4 linked regions of the Arabidopsis thaliana genome follow. The protein of the gene in region 4 interacts with the protein of the main gene of each other region in a pairwise test. Each region holds a gene or a part of one and is shown on either strand. Other genes may lie near its edges.

The links.
Region 1: the proteins of AT3G12910 (region 4) and MAC5B interact in a two-hybrid assay, tested with the Arabidopsis thaliana proteins (one large-scale study listed by BioGRID).
Region 2: the proteins of AT3G12910 (region 4) and AT2G31220 interact in a two-hybrid assay, tested with the Arabidopsis thaliana proteins (one large-scale study listed by BioGRID).
Region 3: the proteins of AT3G12910 (region 4) and AT1G22810 interact in a two-hybrid assay, tested with the Arabidopsis thaliana proteins (one large-scale study listed by BioGRID).

The regions. Positions count from the first base shown.
Region 1 is NC_003071.7:12,650,065-12,654,860, forward strand, and holds MAC5B (CCCH-type zinc fingerfamily protein with RNA-binding domain-containing protein), read left to right. Parts: upstream 1-1,761; 5' UTR 1,762-1,946; coding exon 1,947-2,051; intron 2,052-2,446; coding exon 2,447-2,716; intron 2,717-2,836; coding exon 2,837-3,060; intron 3,061-3,241; coding exon 3,242-4,094; 3' UTR 4,095-4,272; downstream 4,273-4,796. Other genes in the region: PCNA2 (proliferating cell nuclear antigen 2), read right to left, coding at 75-299, 394-491, 575-727, 1,216-1,534; AT2G29590 (Thioesterase superfamily protein), read right to left, coding at 4,538-4,681, 4,784-4,796.
Region 2 is NC_003071.7:13,300,792-13,305,393, reverse strand, and holds AT2G31220 (basic helix-loop-helix (bHLH) DNA-binding superfamily protein), read right to left. Parts: upstream 2,729-4,602; 5' UTR 2,642-2,728; intron 2,421-2,641; 5' UTR 2,381-2,420; coding exon 2,374-2,380; intron 2,322-2,373; exon of another isoform or gene 2,279-2,321; coding exon 1,461-2,278; intron 1,367-1,460; coding exon 917-1,366; intron 835-916; coding exon 733-834; 3' UTR 525-732; downstream 1-524.
Region 3 is NC_003070.9:8,073,682-8,076,941, reverse strand, and holds AT1G22810 (Integrase-type DNA-binding superfamily protein), read left to right. Parts: upstream 1-1,904; 5' UTR 1,905-1,972; coding exon 1,973-2,407; 3' UTR 2,408-2,711; downstream 2,712-3,260. Other genes in the region: AT1G22830 (Tetratricopeptide repeat (TPR)-like superfamily protein), read right to left, coding at 1-21; AT1G22800 (S-adenosyl-L-methionine-dependent methyltransferases superfamily protein), read right to left, coding at 2,903-3,016, 3,192-3,260.
Region 4 is NC_003074.8:4,107,799-4,111,409, reverse strand, and holds AT3G12910 (NAC (No Apical Meristem) domain transcriptional regulator superfamily protein), read right to left. Parts: upstream 2,036-3,611; 5' UTR 1,994-2,035; coding exon 1,786-1,993; intron 1,592-1,785; coding exon 1,278-1,591; intron 1,152-1,277; coding exon 762-1,151; 3' UTR 561-761; downstream 1-560.

The sequences.
Region 1 (4,796 bases), on a different chromosome or scaffold from region 4:
AAATCCAGAAAACAACTGAATCAAGACAGACATTTCAACAAAGGACTCGAACGAAGACTATCAAACATTCATCATTATTCTGGTTTGGTGTCTTCTTCTTCTTCAATCTTAGGCGCCAGATAGTATCGAATGTAACCCATCTCAGCCACCTTGTACTCCACCACGACCGGTAACTCAGAGGACAAACTGATGGTCACAGTTTCCGACAATGGAGTAGCCTTTGTGAAGGAGTTCATGTACCTCAATGCAAATGAAAGCGAAACAGGCTCGTTCATCTCTATCACAATAGCATCTTCAGGCTGCAAAACACACATACAAACATAAGGTCACTTCAACATTGTATTGGACAGATTATTAAACAAATCTCTCTAGATGACTAGTGATTGTTCATACTTTGTCGACGGTAGTATTCTGCCTGAGCACAATGTTTGCTGTCCCGATATCACCTGCTGTTGAAAACTTCACCCCTTCTTTTGTTACCGAGATCACAACTGCAAAATCATAACATCAAAACCAGAATCATGATTAGAGAATCCTCGCAGTGATACACCAAATAAACAAACAGTTCATTTACCTGTGTCACCAATGCTACTGAGATCTTTGCATATCCTGGAAAATTCACCAGAAGGCATTCTCACAATCGAGTGGTACTCAGCATCAGGAATTCCTAAATGCTCACTGTCGATATCCATCAGCTTCATCTCAAAATCTGCAATCTTGTCTTGTGCTGCATCATCAACACCATTTAAATAATGAGATTAACACCACATAGTCAATATCAAACAAAGTTCCTCTGTTAACTTTCACTAAATCAAGAAACTCTATTCACTTTCAAACTATAGTCTTTAAGCTAGAGACTATACCTATTCTGAAAACAAAAATGGAAGGACTCATTCTCATCAAGCAAGTTCTAGTTTCTGTCAAATGAAACCTATAAATAACAGTTCAGATCACTAATAACATCATTAACTACACAAAAACAAAGCCATATCAAACCTTATTCCAAACCAAAAACCCTCTATTAACATAGATTTTATCTTCTCTTTCATCTCTTACAAACTAAAGCTTTCAAGAAATGGACTGAATCATTCTCTACAATCATATTCTAGCTTCTGGCAAATCAAACCTATAAACACAGAATCAGGTCACCAATAGCATCAACATTGACAACAAAACCAAAGCCCTAACAAACAAAAATCGATTTGAAGAACTTACTGGGACTCTCAAACATGAAAGTAACAGTGTCGCTACCATCATCAGCTTTGATGGTGATGATATCATCATTTCCAGCACATTTCAGCATCTTAGACATATTACCAAGATTCATTCCCATAGAGAGGTTCCTATCGCATCTATAGTGCTCGAAACCTTCAGATCTAAGCAAAAGAGACACCAACGCGACATGGCTCGAATCCATAGCTTGAAGCGAGAACCCTGTGGTCGAACAGTCGAAGTTCGCATCGTTCACCAGATCTTTGACCGCTTCTAGAACCTTCTTCAGTAGAGAACCTTGAACTAAACGAAGCTCCAACATCTTCTGGGAAATTATCGAAAGGTTAGAGTGTGAATCGAAACGGTTAGGGTTTTTAGAGCTGTTGAAATTTCTGGGAGGAGATTGCAATTGTTAGCGGGAAGTGATATTATAAGCTGAGATTTTGTGGCGCCATTTAGCGATTTTAGGGTATTTTTGTTCCCGCCTGTGTGTGACGATGAATTATCATCTGTGTGAGTCCGTATTGTTTATTTCAGTACACCACCATCACTTTAAGCTTTCTTATTTCATGGGTTTAAATTGGGCCAAACAAACATTCGGCCCAACAGCAGCTGTAATATTAAAGATTCCCGAAAAAATCGAAACGAGAGCAAATCTGCTCTTCAAGGTAATCTTCGTGTTCGAGACTGAAGAAGAAATCCAGAAATCATTGAGGAAGGAAGAGAATTAGGAAATGGCGCATAGAATACTGAGAGATCACGAGGCTGATGGATGGGAACGTTCTGATTTCCCAATCATCTGTGAGTCTTGTCTCGGTGACAATCCTTACGTGAGAATGGTATATTCTTCGCTTCCTATGTTTCTCCTCAAACAAATTCGATTTCCTTGCCTTTAGCTAGATTTTTTTTTAACATTCATGTGTCTTTATTAAGATCTCCTTTCATTTGTCCATTTTCGAGCTTGTTTAATGCTTTTATGTTTCTTAGTGTTGAAGCTGCAATTTTAGTGATTTGAGATTTTAGGGTTTAAGCGATTTAATATACAATTCATAACCTTTGGTAAAAATCAGAATTCATGGAGTTGTAGTTCAAAATGATATCTTTGGTTTGTTCTGATCAAATTTGCTTAGAGGGAATGTAATTCATTGAATACTGTCTCATGTTATGTCTGGTAGTGATGTGCAGCTTCATGTTTGATTGATTGATTGATTTATTGTTGTTGTTTGGTATGTAGACAAAGGCGAATTACGATAAAGAGTGTAAGATCTGTACCCGGCCTTTCACGGTTTTCAGATGGCGACCTGGTAGGGATGCGAGATACAAGAAGACTGAAGTTTGTCAGACATGTTGCAAGTTGAAGAATGTGTGCCAAGTTTGTCTCTTGGATCTTGAGTATGGTCTTCCAGTTCAGGTCAGAGACACGGCGCTCAACATTAGTACTCATGATTCTATCCCAAAAAGTGATGTGAACCGAGAGTTTTTCGCTGAAGAGCATGATCGAAAGGTATGGTGACTCTGCGTTCTAACTAGTTATATTATTTGAGTATTGATTGGTTTGAGATTTGGCTATACAGTTTCTCTACTTTGTAATGGCCTATTGAAATGGTTTTGTTTTCTTGTGTAGACGAGAGCTGGACTAGATTATGAGTCTTCTTTTGGGAAGATTCGGCCCAACGATACCATTCGTATGCTTCAAAGGACAACGCCTTACTACAAAAGGAACCGAGCTCATATTTGTAGTTTCTTCATTAGGGGAGAGTGTACAAGAGGTGATGAGTGTCCATACCGTCATGAGATGCCTGAAACAGGAGAGTTATCCCAGCAGAACATTAAAGACCGTTATTATGGGTAAGCATACTTCTAACTTTCATTTTGTTTGAGTATGATAATATTGAGTTACTCCTCAATTTCTTGCTTTGGTATATCATGAAAGAGAGTTATGAAAAATACATCAGTTTGTGTGCGTAAACTGGCTGTTATTTTGGTGATATTGGAACTGTTTTCTCATCTTATTCTTCACTTCCTGCAGTGTAAACGATCCAGTTGCGTTGAAGTTACTTGGCAAGGCTGGGGAGATGGGTACTTTGGAATCTCCAGAGGATCAAAGCATCAGAACGCTTTATGTTGGTGGGCTAAACTCGAGAGTCCTTGAGCAAGACATTCGTGATCAATTCTACGCCCATGGAGAAATCGAATCCATCAGAATCTTGGCTGAGAAAGCATGTGCGTTTGTCACTTACACAACCCGAGAAGGAGCAGAGAAAGCTGCAGAAGAGCTCAGTAACAGGCTAGTTGTCAACGGTCAGAGGCTAAAACTCACATGGGGAAGACCTCAGGTTCCCAAACCTGATCAAGATGGTTCTAACCAACAGGGCAGTGTGGCTCATAGTGGTTTACTACCTCGAGCAGTTATATCTCAGCAACAGAATCAACCTCCACCAATGCTACAATACTATATGCACCCACCACCACCACAACCTCCTCATCAAGACAGACCATTTTACCCATCAATGGACCCTCAGAGAATGGGTGCAGTTAGTTCGTCCAAAGAAAGCGGTTCAAGCACCAGTGACAACAGAGGAGCTTCTTCTTCTTCTTACACTATGCCACCACATGGCCACTATCCTCAGCACCAGCCATACCCGCCACCATCATATGGAGGATATATGCAACCACCTTACCAGCAGTATCCTCCTTACCACCATGGCCATTCACAACAAGCTGATCATGATTACCCACAACAACCAGGTCCCGGTTCAAGGCCTAATCCTCCACATCCAAGTTCAGTCTCTGCTCCACCACCTGACTCTGTGTCTGCAGCACCTTCAGGATCCTCTCAGCAATCTGCTGATGCTGCTGTTACTACTGGTTCGTCTCAATAGGAACCGTTGTCAGTTAAAATGTAGTGCGAATTTCCGGCCATATCTACATTTTGACTTTTTGCTTCTGCTATTTAAAATTAGTTTCCAATGTAAGAGAAGAGAATTGTTACAGTAGTTGTAGACTCTTGTTGACATTATAATTTTGAATTTTTGATAATCCAACATACACATTAAATCCAAGCTGAAACCATAGACAACAAAATTCTCTTGAAGCTTCTTCAAATTCCTCTTTAAACAGCTTTCAATGTTGTATAGATGAGACATATCATACCATCCTCATCAACATAACTATCACAGTTACTGAATGGTTTGATCTTTATAAGCTATGTACCAAGGTTTTAGATTCACAACCAGAAAGAACAAAGGACCTAACCAAATTTACCTAACCATAATCTTATTATTGAAAACAGACATTACAGTGATACAAGACTTAAAAGTTGGACTCAGAGCTTACTAGCTTGTCTACCAAACATAGAATGTCGACCTTCCGCTATAATCTCCCCGGTCATCTTGTTTCTGACTACAACGATTGTTCCTTTATAACCTCCTCTCTCTCCTAACAATCTCGACGTTATCTCCAACTCCTCCTGAAAATTCATTTCCATTTCAATATCATATCTCTCAATCCATTTCTATAGCAAACAAACAGTCCCAAAGTACAGATTGAAAAAAGACTTGAGCAGACTTACACCAAGCTTAGCT
Region 2 (4,602 bases), on a different chromosome or scaffold from region 4:
TTTCACAGACATACTTTATTTTAAATGTGAAAATAGACTTCAAAACAAAAAAATACACATGAACGTGTTCGAAATAGGGAATAAGCAAAAAGGGTGACAGACAACGAGCAAAGACAAGAGCGTTGAGACAAAATCACATCCTTGTTTTTTTGTTTTAGATCTAAAACAAATTAACATTCACTAATTGATAGTACATTTTTTGTTTTGTCAAAGCCTAATTGATAGTACACATTATTAAATAAAAGCTTAAACACGTAATTCAACGGTAAATGAAAAATCGTAAAAAGAACCAGATTAAAATTGGCTCATTGTAAAAAGAACCACTGAAAATGTAAGCAAGTTTCTTAATTTCTAGTTAGAAAACCAGAATCGATAAAGAAGCAATGGTTTATAAATTCCGGACTGATGATTATTCTCAAACTTTTCAAACGACACGGCCCACTGGCCCATTAAGAGCAATATGAAACGTAAGGTAAATATGAGCAAGAGCATTTGTTAAAAAAAAAAACGCAAGAGATTAAAATGTGGTCGAAAAACGAAACCGATAAAGCTAGAAGAAATATATAGAGTTAGACAAAATCCAGACAAAGAGCCTCAGCTCTAGCTCTAACTTTAACTCTAGCTAAATAAACTTGAAAATTACCAAAGTGATTAATAACTTAATCAGTCATTAGAGGGGTATCACAAAAGTTATTAAAAAGCAATAAACTACTCCATAAGTGTGTCTGGAATCTAGTAGCCGTTGCTAGGAACAGCTTCCATGTACTGCTTCTCCACGACCTCCATCAATGTGTCTGCAATTCCACTTGCATACACACAAGATCCTTCACAAATCTGCCTCAAACCAAATTGAAAAAGATTAGTTTATTGGTTTGGAGTTAATAACAGAACTATATTAGTGAGACATTTTCATTACCTTAGTGTTGAACAAGAAGCTGTAATGTTCACCAATCTGTCCACCTGCAACATGGTGAAGATCTAGCTGAAGCTGATCAAGAACTTTGGTGGTGAACAACAAACAGTTAATCTTCTTCTTCTGAACAAGCTTGATGGTTACTTCATCATCGATTATACGTACATCGACCTCAGTGACTTTCGATTTCCTCTTAAGCCATGAACATCTCAGTGAGTTGTTGTTGTTCTTGTTGAAGCAAGACTGGTCTACTTCGCTCTGTGGCTTGTAATTCACAGTGTCTTCTTCTTCTTCTTGATCTTCTCCTCCTCCTCCTTCACCAACTCTAGCTCTCTTCTTGCTCCTGAATCTCCCACATCTCTTCTTCTCCACAAGCATCTTAAACTCCTCTATTGTCCTTAAAAGCTCTTTGATGTAATCTATCGCCTCTCCAACTATCGATGCTCTATCAATCTACAGAGATTAAACCAACAATGTCTCTCATTTCATAGTCTCCTCATACACATTAACAACATGAATTGAAATCAAAGCAAAGTAAAGTATATACCTTTGTGGGATTTGGAATGAGGTTCTTTAAGTCGAAGAAACGATCATTGAAGTGAACTCGTCTCTCACGTTCTGTAGGGGAAGTTCTCGACTTTCTTGATCCTCTTCCTTTACGAGTAACTCCATTGTTAAACTCAAGAATCTCATTCTCAAATCCACCATTGTTGTTGTTTGCTCCTTCAAAGTACAAAACATTCATTCCTCCATTAGCATCCATCTGAATTTGATCTTCAACTCCAAGTAAACAAGAGCCGTTTCTTAGCTGGTTCTGATCTCTAGGCTGCATAGGGAAATTCAAATGGAAGAGAGGGTCGTACATAACAGCAGCAGCAGAAGAAGAAGACATAATGTCTGAGAAAGAGGTAGGTAGCATAGAGGAAGGATGATGATTAGGAGGCAATGAGCATCTAGGCAAGTGTAAGAGACTAAGCAAATCAGGAGTTGTTGCAGAGTTAGGTCCCAAATTCACAAAATCCTGATACCCATTATCCCAATTAGAGTGTTGTTGTTGATGTGAAGCCATTTGGTGAATCAAATTGTTGTGGAGTTGATCACAAGGAGGAGGTGGTGGAGGAGGAGGATTGATGTGAAACTGGAGAGGTGTTGAAGAAGCTTGAGGACAATCTTGTGGGCTGAGATGGAATTCAGAGAGCTCTTCTACCTCAACACTGCAGTTGCTGTTGCTTGTGCTTCCGGCAACCAGAACTTGCGGTGGTGGTGGTGGTGGTTCGGCTTGAGAGAAGCTACTCTCCACCGTAACTTCTGCTGGAGTGTTGGGATCGAAACAACCCATTTCCTCGTAAAGGCTTTCTCTTTCTTCTGCGTTTGTAACTCAAACACTAATTTAGATCTTCCAGAACGAAAAAGGTAGCAACTTTCATGAGAAATTAGACCAAATAATGAAATTTTGTTACCTTCCATGGAAATGGTTCAACGAGTACTCTAGATGATTCTTTAACACCTGCAAATCAAAAGTAACATTCAACAATCTTTAAGAAGAAGAAAAACCAAAAATTTGAAACTAATTTCAAAAAAAGTTAGCTCTTTTATAATTTTGGAAACGAAACCATAGAAATGTTTGTTAGGATCCAAAAGATTAAACATTGGGTTAAGGGTTTGAATTTGACAATAGATAGAAAGAGATGTAAGATAATGAGTAATCAGAGCTGGGAAAATTAGAACCTTTGTTACAATTAATTCTTCTCTACGTCTGTCTTCTCAATTTTCAGGAGAAGAAGTAAGTTTTTTAAACAAGAGTCTCTCTCTCCCTCTCTGTGTTTGAAATATACGGACATTTGTAGATGGAGACACACAATACAATAAGGGTAAAAAGATGGCAAAGTTAAATTATTGGATAACATGTATATTCTAGGTGTCTAATTTAAACGAAAATGTTGTATATAATCCATTAAGCTATGTTTCTAATCCAACTTTGATGCATGATTTATTAAGGTTTTGATTTGTTACATGGTTTGTGAAATTACTTCTTGTTTATAGTCATTTTTTAAATCATTTTCTATGCAACTTATTTTTTGATTAATCATTTCAAATGTTGAAACCTGATTACCAAATACCAATATGATCCTAAACATATCTTTTAACACTTAACCAGTTGTAAGAAAATTAGCATTGTATATATTTCTTTTACGTTATAAGCTCACTTTTAAGAAAATATAAATTGGGTTTTTTTTGGGGGCTGTTTTGGTTGGAGCATGTGATTTATCATTGTGGCCAAACATAAAGGTTGGTTAGAAGAATCAACAGATGGGTCCCTTGCCGAATCTCTCAGGTCTTTTCAACGACTTTAGGGGTATTTCCGTCATTATCAGCAAATACGATCTTCTCTCTGACCAATATGATATGGGCTCCACTAACTCACACCGACAAACCAAGTAGCCCCGTTTGCTCTTTCCCATTTCTACCCTTTTCCTTTCATTTTAGTAAAATTTGGATAAAAATATCCCAAATACAAAATTGTAATTGATAAAAGTATTTTAACGCGAAACTATTTTCTTGTCTTAGATGTATGTTTTACTTCTATAATTAATCTCATGTTTAATATGTGTTATGTTTATGCAATCGTATTTTATTATATACTCGAATTGAAAAAACTCTTCGACTTAATACAAGAACCAAAAATACTAATGCACGGTTTAAATGGATATGTTTTGTATATAAAAAGTGTTCAGTTTTAATTTATGGATGATTAACTACCTTATCATCAACAATCATGGAATTATTTATCACATCATCTAGTTTGATTCATCTATACGTTGTACATGGCATTGATAAAACTTATGTATGTATATCATAGTTAAATAGAAGTATAAATACTTAAACCCCTGGGTTTTCTAATTTTATAAGTAAACTGTGTTCAACAACTAAACCATCATAGAATAGTTTCTATCTCAAACACTTCCTGTAATGTATATCGACAACTCACTTAATTAATCTAATTTAACACTTCCTTTCTTTGTGTATAATCGATAACATAAAATGATAAAATAAAAATTCATCCATAAGAAAAATATTTAGATACTTGAAGAGATGTATAATAGAGAATCTGGTAAAAAAATAACATGGACTGTATTGAATATAAATAATTCATTTCATTCATATATGTTTATATTTCAATCTTTTCTATTAAATTTTTCTAAATAAATAACAATTTTGGATCAAACTAATTGTATAAGTTTCCTTGTTGAGCGGTTGGGTCATGCGATTTCTGTTTATAGCAAAGAGAGCGGGTTGTTTGAGAAGTAGTGGAAGTAGGTCCCACATCCAAGAATGGGATAATAATATACTTTATATTTGATTTAGTAAAAAAAAGAATTAGGGTTATTCTTGAAATTCGACAGAAACTGAAAAAATTCTGGTCACCTACCTCTCTCGTACACGGTACACTGCGACTGTCCCCATCCTAACTAAACAGTACAAACTCTGATTACTCAGAAAATGTTAAAATGTATTGCCGGACCAAACCAACGATTTGGTTTTTGATATATTAAAAATGTAGTGCCGCTTGATTCGGTCCATACATAGCCAATAGTTTCAGAAAAGGGGTTGGGTTGGATTCATTTAGGTAATGAATCGTATCATTTTTATTTTATTTGACGGTTGCACTACAGATATTTCATAGAAAT
Region 3 (3,260 bases), on a different chromosome or scaffold from region 4:
GCGAGAAGGAGAAGACGGCATATACAGTAAGCTGCATATGATGGCAACGAATGGATTTTGATTATTGTTCCAAGACTAGTTTGATCCATCAAAGCGAAAGTTCAAGCAATTTTGCTTCTCCGTCTGAAAGTCAAAGGAAGAAAGGTGAGAAAGATAAAAAAAAAGTTTCGTTGAGGAATTTCATCGAACATGTGGTGAGCGAAACATACCGTATACAGACGAAACATGGAAGTATAAGTACATCTAGAGAAACATAAAAGAGATAAGACAGATGTCATGTAGGAAGAAAAAGGAAAGAAGACAGTGATTCGGAGACAGTATCGACGGAACCGGACGAAGCGAAAGTAGGAGTAGCCGCGCGTGAAGGTTATGTAGAAAGAGACTCCTTTTTGACATTTATTCAATGTTCTGGCATGTGCTCAGATGATTTGGGCCGCTTGTTTAGATTTGTCCACTTCCAGACCCATTGCAATTGTAACCCATTTTAGCCCACTAAAATCTGACTGTAACAACTTTATAAATTTATGGTTTTTTCAAAATATTACCAAGGTTAAATAAATCGTGTTAGATGAAGTTGGCACCAGTTTTTGATATTACAAAATGAGGTCACTAGTATTTTTTTTATAAGAACTTATAATAAGTAATTTATTAATTGCATTATTTCATTAATATTGATTTTATATATACTGATACACTAGGGTTTTTATAAACATTTAAATTGTCTAAAATCGCATAGACCAACCGAGTAGGTGTGAATATTTATTGTCAGATATCAATAATCTGCTAGACGTTTCTAAAAACATCTCTAATCGTAACTTACCAAGTTACCTTTGAGGTTTCTTCTAAATGAGTCGGTGACTATGATAAGACGGTGTATCACATCACAATCAACTCCCAAATGTCAGTGTCGAGAAAAACCTAATCAAGTATCAACTACAAAGAATTGGTTATGCATCCGAAGGATGAAAACACATTAAATACATTATGAGACTGGGTTTCTCCGTGGATGATTCGTGTTTTGGATGTGGTTGTGTGTGAACTAAAATTTGACAACCATGTACATGAGTCAGCAGACACAGAAGAAGACAAAAAATAACTTTTTCCAGTTAGTTTGGGCTGTTGTGTCTGTGTGTTGTCCGTGGAGAATCATTAAGTCATTACAGATCTTTGGTCAAATGCCAAAAATAAAGGACCCCCTTTAGACGGTGCTCATGTCACGCATGACGCAATTTGTAACCAAAAAAGGCAAAGAAAGTCTTTCTTTATCCCACGTGGTTTAACCATCGACGACGACGTTTTCACATTCTTCATCGGTGGAGTTTGAATCGACTTTTGTGTTTTTCACTGCTTTTCTCTATACTATTATGTCATCACCTATTTTACAGATTTTTATGAAACGAAATAGAGGATATATAGTAGTATAAAATTCTAGATTTCGACTTAAGACTTTTTCATATAAAAAAAAATGAAAAACCTATAAATTAAGGTAACCTAACTATGATATACCAAAGCAACAACAACAAAAAATAAAGATTAATTTTCTATTTTAAAAAAACAAAAAATATCATTTATTTTGAAACCAAACAGAACGGTATATATACCACTTGTTTTATAGAAATGACTCTTACTTTCTAAATACATTGAATTTACTGTTAGACACAGCAAAAAAAAAAGTTACAACTTGAAAGAAAAAAAAATCGACTAGTCAGGCACATGTCAAATTGGTACCACTAAAAAAATGGGTCATACTTTGACCAGTTGATTTTTTCCTCGAGAATTAACTAGTTTTATAATTGGTCAACTTCATTCTCATTCTTGATTCATATTAAAAAATATTATATAATATTTTGACTTTCACTAAACTTCAACGTATAAATAGTCTTTGTATCTTCATATTCAAACATAAACAACACTCAAAAGTCTCTTCTTCTTCTTCTTCTTCTTCACATCGATCATCATACAACAACAAAAAATGGATTACAGAGAATCCACCGGTGAAAGTCAGTCAAAGTACAAAGGAATCCGTCGTCGGAAATGGGGCAAATGGGTATCAGAGATTAGAGTTCCGGGAACTCGTGACCGTCTCTGGTTAGGTTCATTCTCAACAGCAGAAGGTGCCGCCGTAGCACACGACGTTGCTTTCTTCTGTTTACACCAACCTGATTCTTTAGAATCTCTCAATTTCCCTCATTTGCTTAATCCTTCACTCGTTTCCAGAACTTCTCCGAGATCTATCCAGCAAGCTGCTTCTAACGCCGGCATGGCCATTGACGCCGGAATCGTCCACAGTACCAGCGTGAACTCTGGATGCGGAGATACGACGACGTATTACGAGAATGGAGCTGATCAAGTGGAGCCGTTGAATATTTCAGTGTATGATTATCTGGGCGGCCACGATCACGTTTGATTTATCTCGACGGTCATGATCACGTTTGATCTTCTTTTGAGTAAGATTTTGTACCATAATCAAAACAGGTGTGGTGCTAAAATCTTACTCAAAACAAGATTAGGTACCACAGAGAAACAATCAAATGGTTGTGAATATACATTATAAGGTTTTGATTAATGTTTGTTTCACTGATTTAGTGAAGTTTGGTCCATTGTATACAAATCTATTCAAGAAACCTAGCGCGAGATCATGTTTCGTGATTGAAGATTGAGATTTTTAAGTATTCGTAATATTTTTGTAAAATACAAATATGTTTCTGATCAGCTATTATTCGATACGAAATACATGGGCGAAAGCAGGCGTCCTAATTGTGATGCTTTCGCCCAGTGAAAGACTCCGACAAATCTACAAGAGTTCCTCCAAGTACCTTATAGCTTAAGTCACTGATTTCTCTCTCAAGTGTCATTTGTAAAGTCTCTGCTTATTGAATGTTTCTCTTCTTCAATCATTCCATCAAGATTGTCCGCCAAATTGCTTTTGGAGATCCGTGAAGGATACGGTGGCTGAACCTCTTCGTTTGGCCTGCGGGTGAGACGAATGTTCTCTCCATCCTGTCATGTAAATCACCTACACAAGAATGCCAAACGATATATACTTTAGGCCTCAAATGTTGTTAATTTCACTTGTAGTATTTAGCATAAAATTGTTTTAATCATGGATTGTAGCAAAACAACTTGAATAATGAAGCTAGGTTATGGGTTTTTTTCACTGTTGAGTTAGTTCTGAACTATTATGGACAGACCTGAAAAGTAGCGGGTATAGTGCCGTCCTCTGTGGCAAACATGGAGTCATATATGGCTGCCGTGGCAAC
Region 4 (3,611 bases):
TCAATCACACGTACATAGTTGGCTACTGGATAACCAGTGGAATCAGTCAGTAAAATGATATCAGACTACTCGATTGCATGATTTGAAGTATAAAGCTTAACCTATCTACAATTTTCACGCCAATTCCAACTGTTTATTGAACCATATCCTAGTCATGTCTCGGGAACACCCAAAACCTCTGCAGTTTAATTCGATATATACTGACTCGATTGTAAACTGAGCTAATCGTCTCTTAAATTGACGAATTTACGAAATCTGGAGATAAAAGGAACATGAACAATCGTATTCATCATCCAAACTACAAACAGAATCTCGGCTCTTCGCTCTCAGAATTCGAAATTGGCAAGTAACTCTGCTTTCTCTCCAATGGTTCTCTCCAATATTTCTCTCATCCGTGACAAGACAAGAAGTTCCATCGTTTCATCTCCTCCACCTAATGGGCTTTGTTTCCTTTGTGGGCTTCTTAATGTTTTTTTAAACGCTTTTGTTACTTTATTAAAGATAACAAGACCACAAGTCCACTATTCGTCTAACCGAAAAACATAAAATAAGAGGGCTAATAAAACAAAATATGCAAATAGTTCCCGAGATTAAATTGACATTAATACATACTATATACGTGTGGATCAACCTGAGAATTCAAACAGGTGCATATTCATATACACACGATCCATGTATACAGTAGAGATCTGATGATACAACACGTCCAAGCTAGTAATATGTAATATGTATACATATTAGTTGTTAATTATTCTAGAGATCTAACTAAGAAAAGAAGGTGGGAAAGCAAATTCCACAACCGATCGAAGCTCGTCCGGCCAAGTCTCGTAGGTTTCATGGTGAATGTTATCGTTGGAGAAATGTTGAAACGAATCAACGTGTGTGGTGTCCATGAGAATTGGCTGGTTTTGATGTTGATAAGGCGTTTGCTGAAGCTGGAAAACGCTTCTCTCGTAGTTCCCTTTGCCTTCCCTAACGTTCATCACGTTGGTACTACTACTACTTTCATTGTCCCCAAAATTTATATAAGCTTCTTGGTAATTAGATTGTTGCTGCTTCACACGTTTGCCATTTGCTAATTCTCTCCAGTCCGGAGTGTATTTTCGACTAGACACAGTTCTCTTAAATATCCGGCATAACGTCCATACTTCCTGCAATTATATAGTTAATAAGAACCATCCATGAGCATTCTTTCTCAAACCCTATGTATTTTTGCCATGTGAAGCGTTTATAGTGGCCAACCATGCATGATCATGATCAAGAGATAGCAAACTTACCGCGTGTAGCAAGGAAGTTGGAGTAGGGTTAGAGTGTGTAGGGCCACCGGGGATTGTGTCATTGGCTGTAGGGAGACGAAACTCGTGCATCATCCAATCCGTCTTGTTTCCTTTCCCGGCGCTTCCTAGGTAATAAACGAGTGTCTTCTTTAGACCGATCACGGCTTTGTTGGATCCATCGGAATAGACAGGCTTGTCTATCCCTGTGGCTTTCCAGAAACCGGAACCAGTCACTCGGTTCGGTCTTATGCTGTTTCTGTATTTCCTTCCTCTCTTACAAAAGAAGTAGCTCTCCTTCTCTGTATTCCTCGACCCTTCAAACAAAAATTATGTTTGATCATCAGTTTATAACAATAATTTATGTGTTAATTTTACTTCACAAACATGCATACACGACTTTACTTTTGTTTTTCTCATAAAAGTTAGACCTAATTTTTTTTCTATTTGTGTTTGCATGGTTTGGAGTGCAAAAAACAGAAAAAAGCAAGAGTGAGTAAAACAAACTTACTTGGAAGATCCCACGGATCAAATTTATAGATATCAATTTGGCTGACGATCTCATCAATCTTGCTCGTTTTTTTGAGAAGCACTTTTTTAGAGAGATAATACCCTACAAGCTCCTCATCCGTCGGATGAAACCTAAACCCTGGAAGCTTTAACGCATCCTCATCTTCTGATTCTCTTGTGTTGTCCCGTGGTTCTATCATCTTCTCCATGGCTTTGGTTTCTATTTCTTCCTTTTTGCTCTTTGGACTCACATATAAGAATCTTCTTGAGATTTATATAAAGAGAGTTTGTGTCGTGTGTCTATCTATCATAAGATCGATTTGGTCAAGTCATTTCTGTTGACTTAGTGATCCTTTGTAATCAATGATATATCCGACCCGGTAAAAGTCTTTTGGGCTTGAGTTTTTAGAACGAGTCTTTTCGCATCTATACGTGGACCCAATAAATATGACGCTTTTACCTTTCGCATTATTAGGACGCAAGGAAAACGCTAAGGAGAGGACTGACTTTTTGACACACAAAAATTTAATTTTTGTGTGTTCTCTTCCAAAATGTCTGACGAGTATTCATTGTTACAACATTAACTTCTTCTAGACCCATCATTAATTGTTTGCATATTATATTCTTGACCACCACAAAACATCTACTAATCATCATGACGTTAAACGCATAAATCCGACTTTGTGCTCGTAAAGGTAAGATTTGTATTGCTTCGTTTGGAGATTTTAACTTGGAGTCTTGGAGAGATCAACAAACTAAAAAGAAAAAATATGAATATTGTTACATTTTTTATTTTTCTATTTGGTAATTTCTCCGAAATTGACAATGACAGATCCACCAAATAAAAACCGAATATTACCTGTCAGTTCCTTTCTCACTTCTCCAAAATATTTTACTGGTTATTGTAGTTATTAGTTAAGCTTGGTTTTTGAACTTGAAAGTAATTGGTCTTAATTTAAACTCGTCTCTTGTCCCTTTATTTTAATATCGTTGCAACTGATAACTACAGCTACGGGATGGTTCATAAACCGTCGTTAGTAGCCAACCAATCCCCAGAAGCTTATTAATTCCAAATTATATCTAGATCCAATTAATAATACTGAAACTCATTAACAAACCATACTTTCAAAGATCGGCATATCGGATTTCTTCGTTTATGTTGATCTTACATCTTCATTCGGATTGATATCTCAACAATTAATTATTTTACGTACATATATATCCATTATATATCATAAATTAAAATTATTTCCAAACTACTTCTCTCTGGACAATGAAGCTTATCTTCCACCATCTCACTGGACGACCTTACATTTTTGTAATGCCTTACTTTTTTCTGAAGAATGCAACATGACTTACTATACCACATTTTTTTCTTTTTTAAATATGAGAAAAATCATATTTAATCCGGTGGTAATTGTTGTAACACTATTTGCAAAATCCACGAGGCGAAATTTCGATCAGAGGAGCGTGCTTAAAGCTGTGGAAATATGCTGTCTATTTAAAAGTAGTGGAAATACTAATACTTATAATTATTGTCACCATAATTACCTATTATATTCAGAAACCACAATTTCCACTGCACTGAAAGAGTCTCTCCCATTAATACACTGCTCATTGTCAAAACTCACTCTACGAAAAAACGTTATTCAAGTAATGTTGGTTCTGACTTTTTTGTCCAAATCTTTACCACTTTTTTAGATAAGCTTTTGGTAAAAGTACCCGGTACAAATAGCACAACGAGTAAAATATTTTAAATAAAATCTAAAAGTCACTGATTTCGAATGGTATTTAGAAGAAAATCATACATAATATTTTAATCCTCAA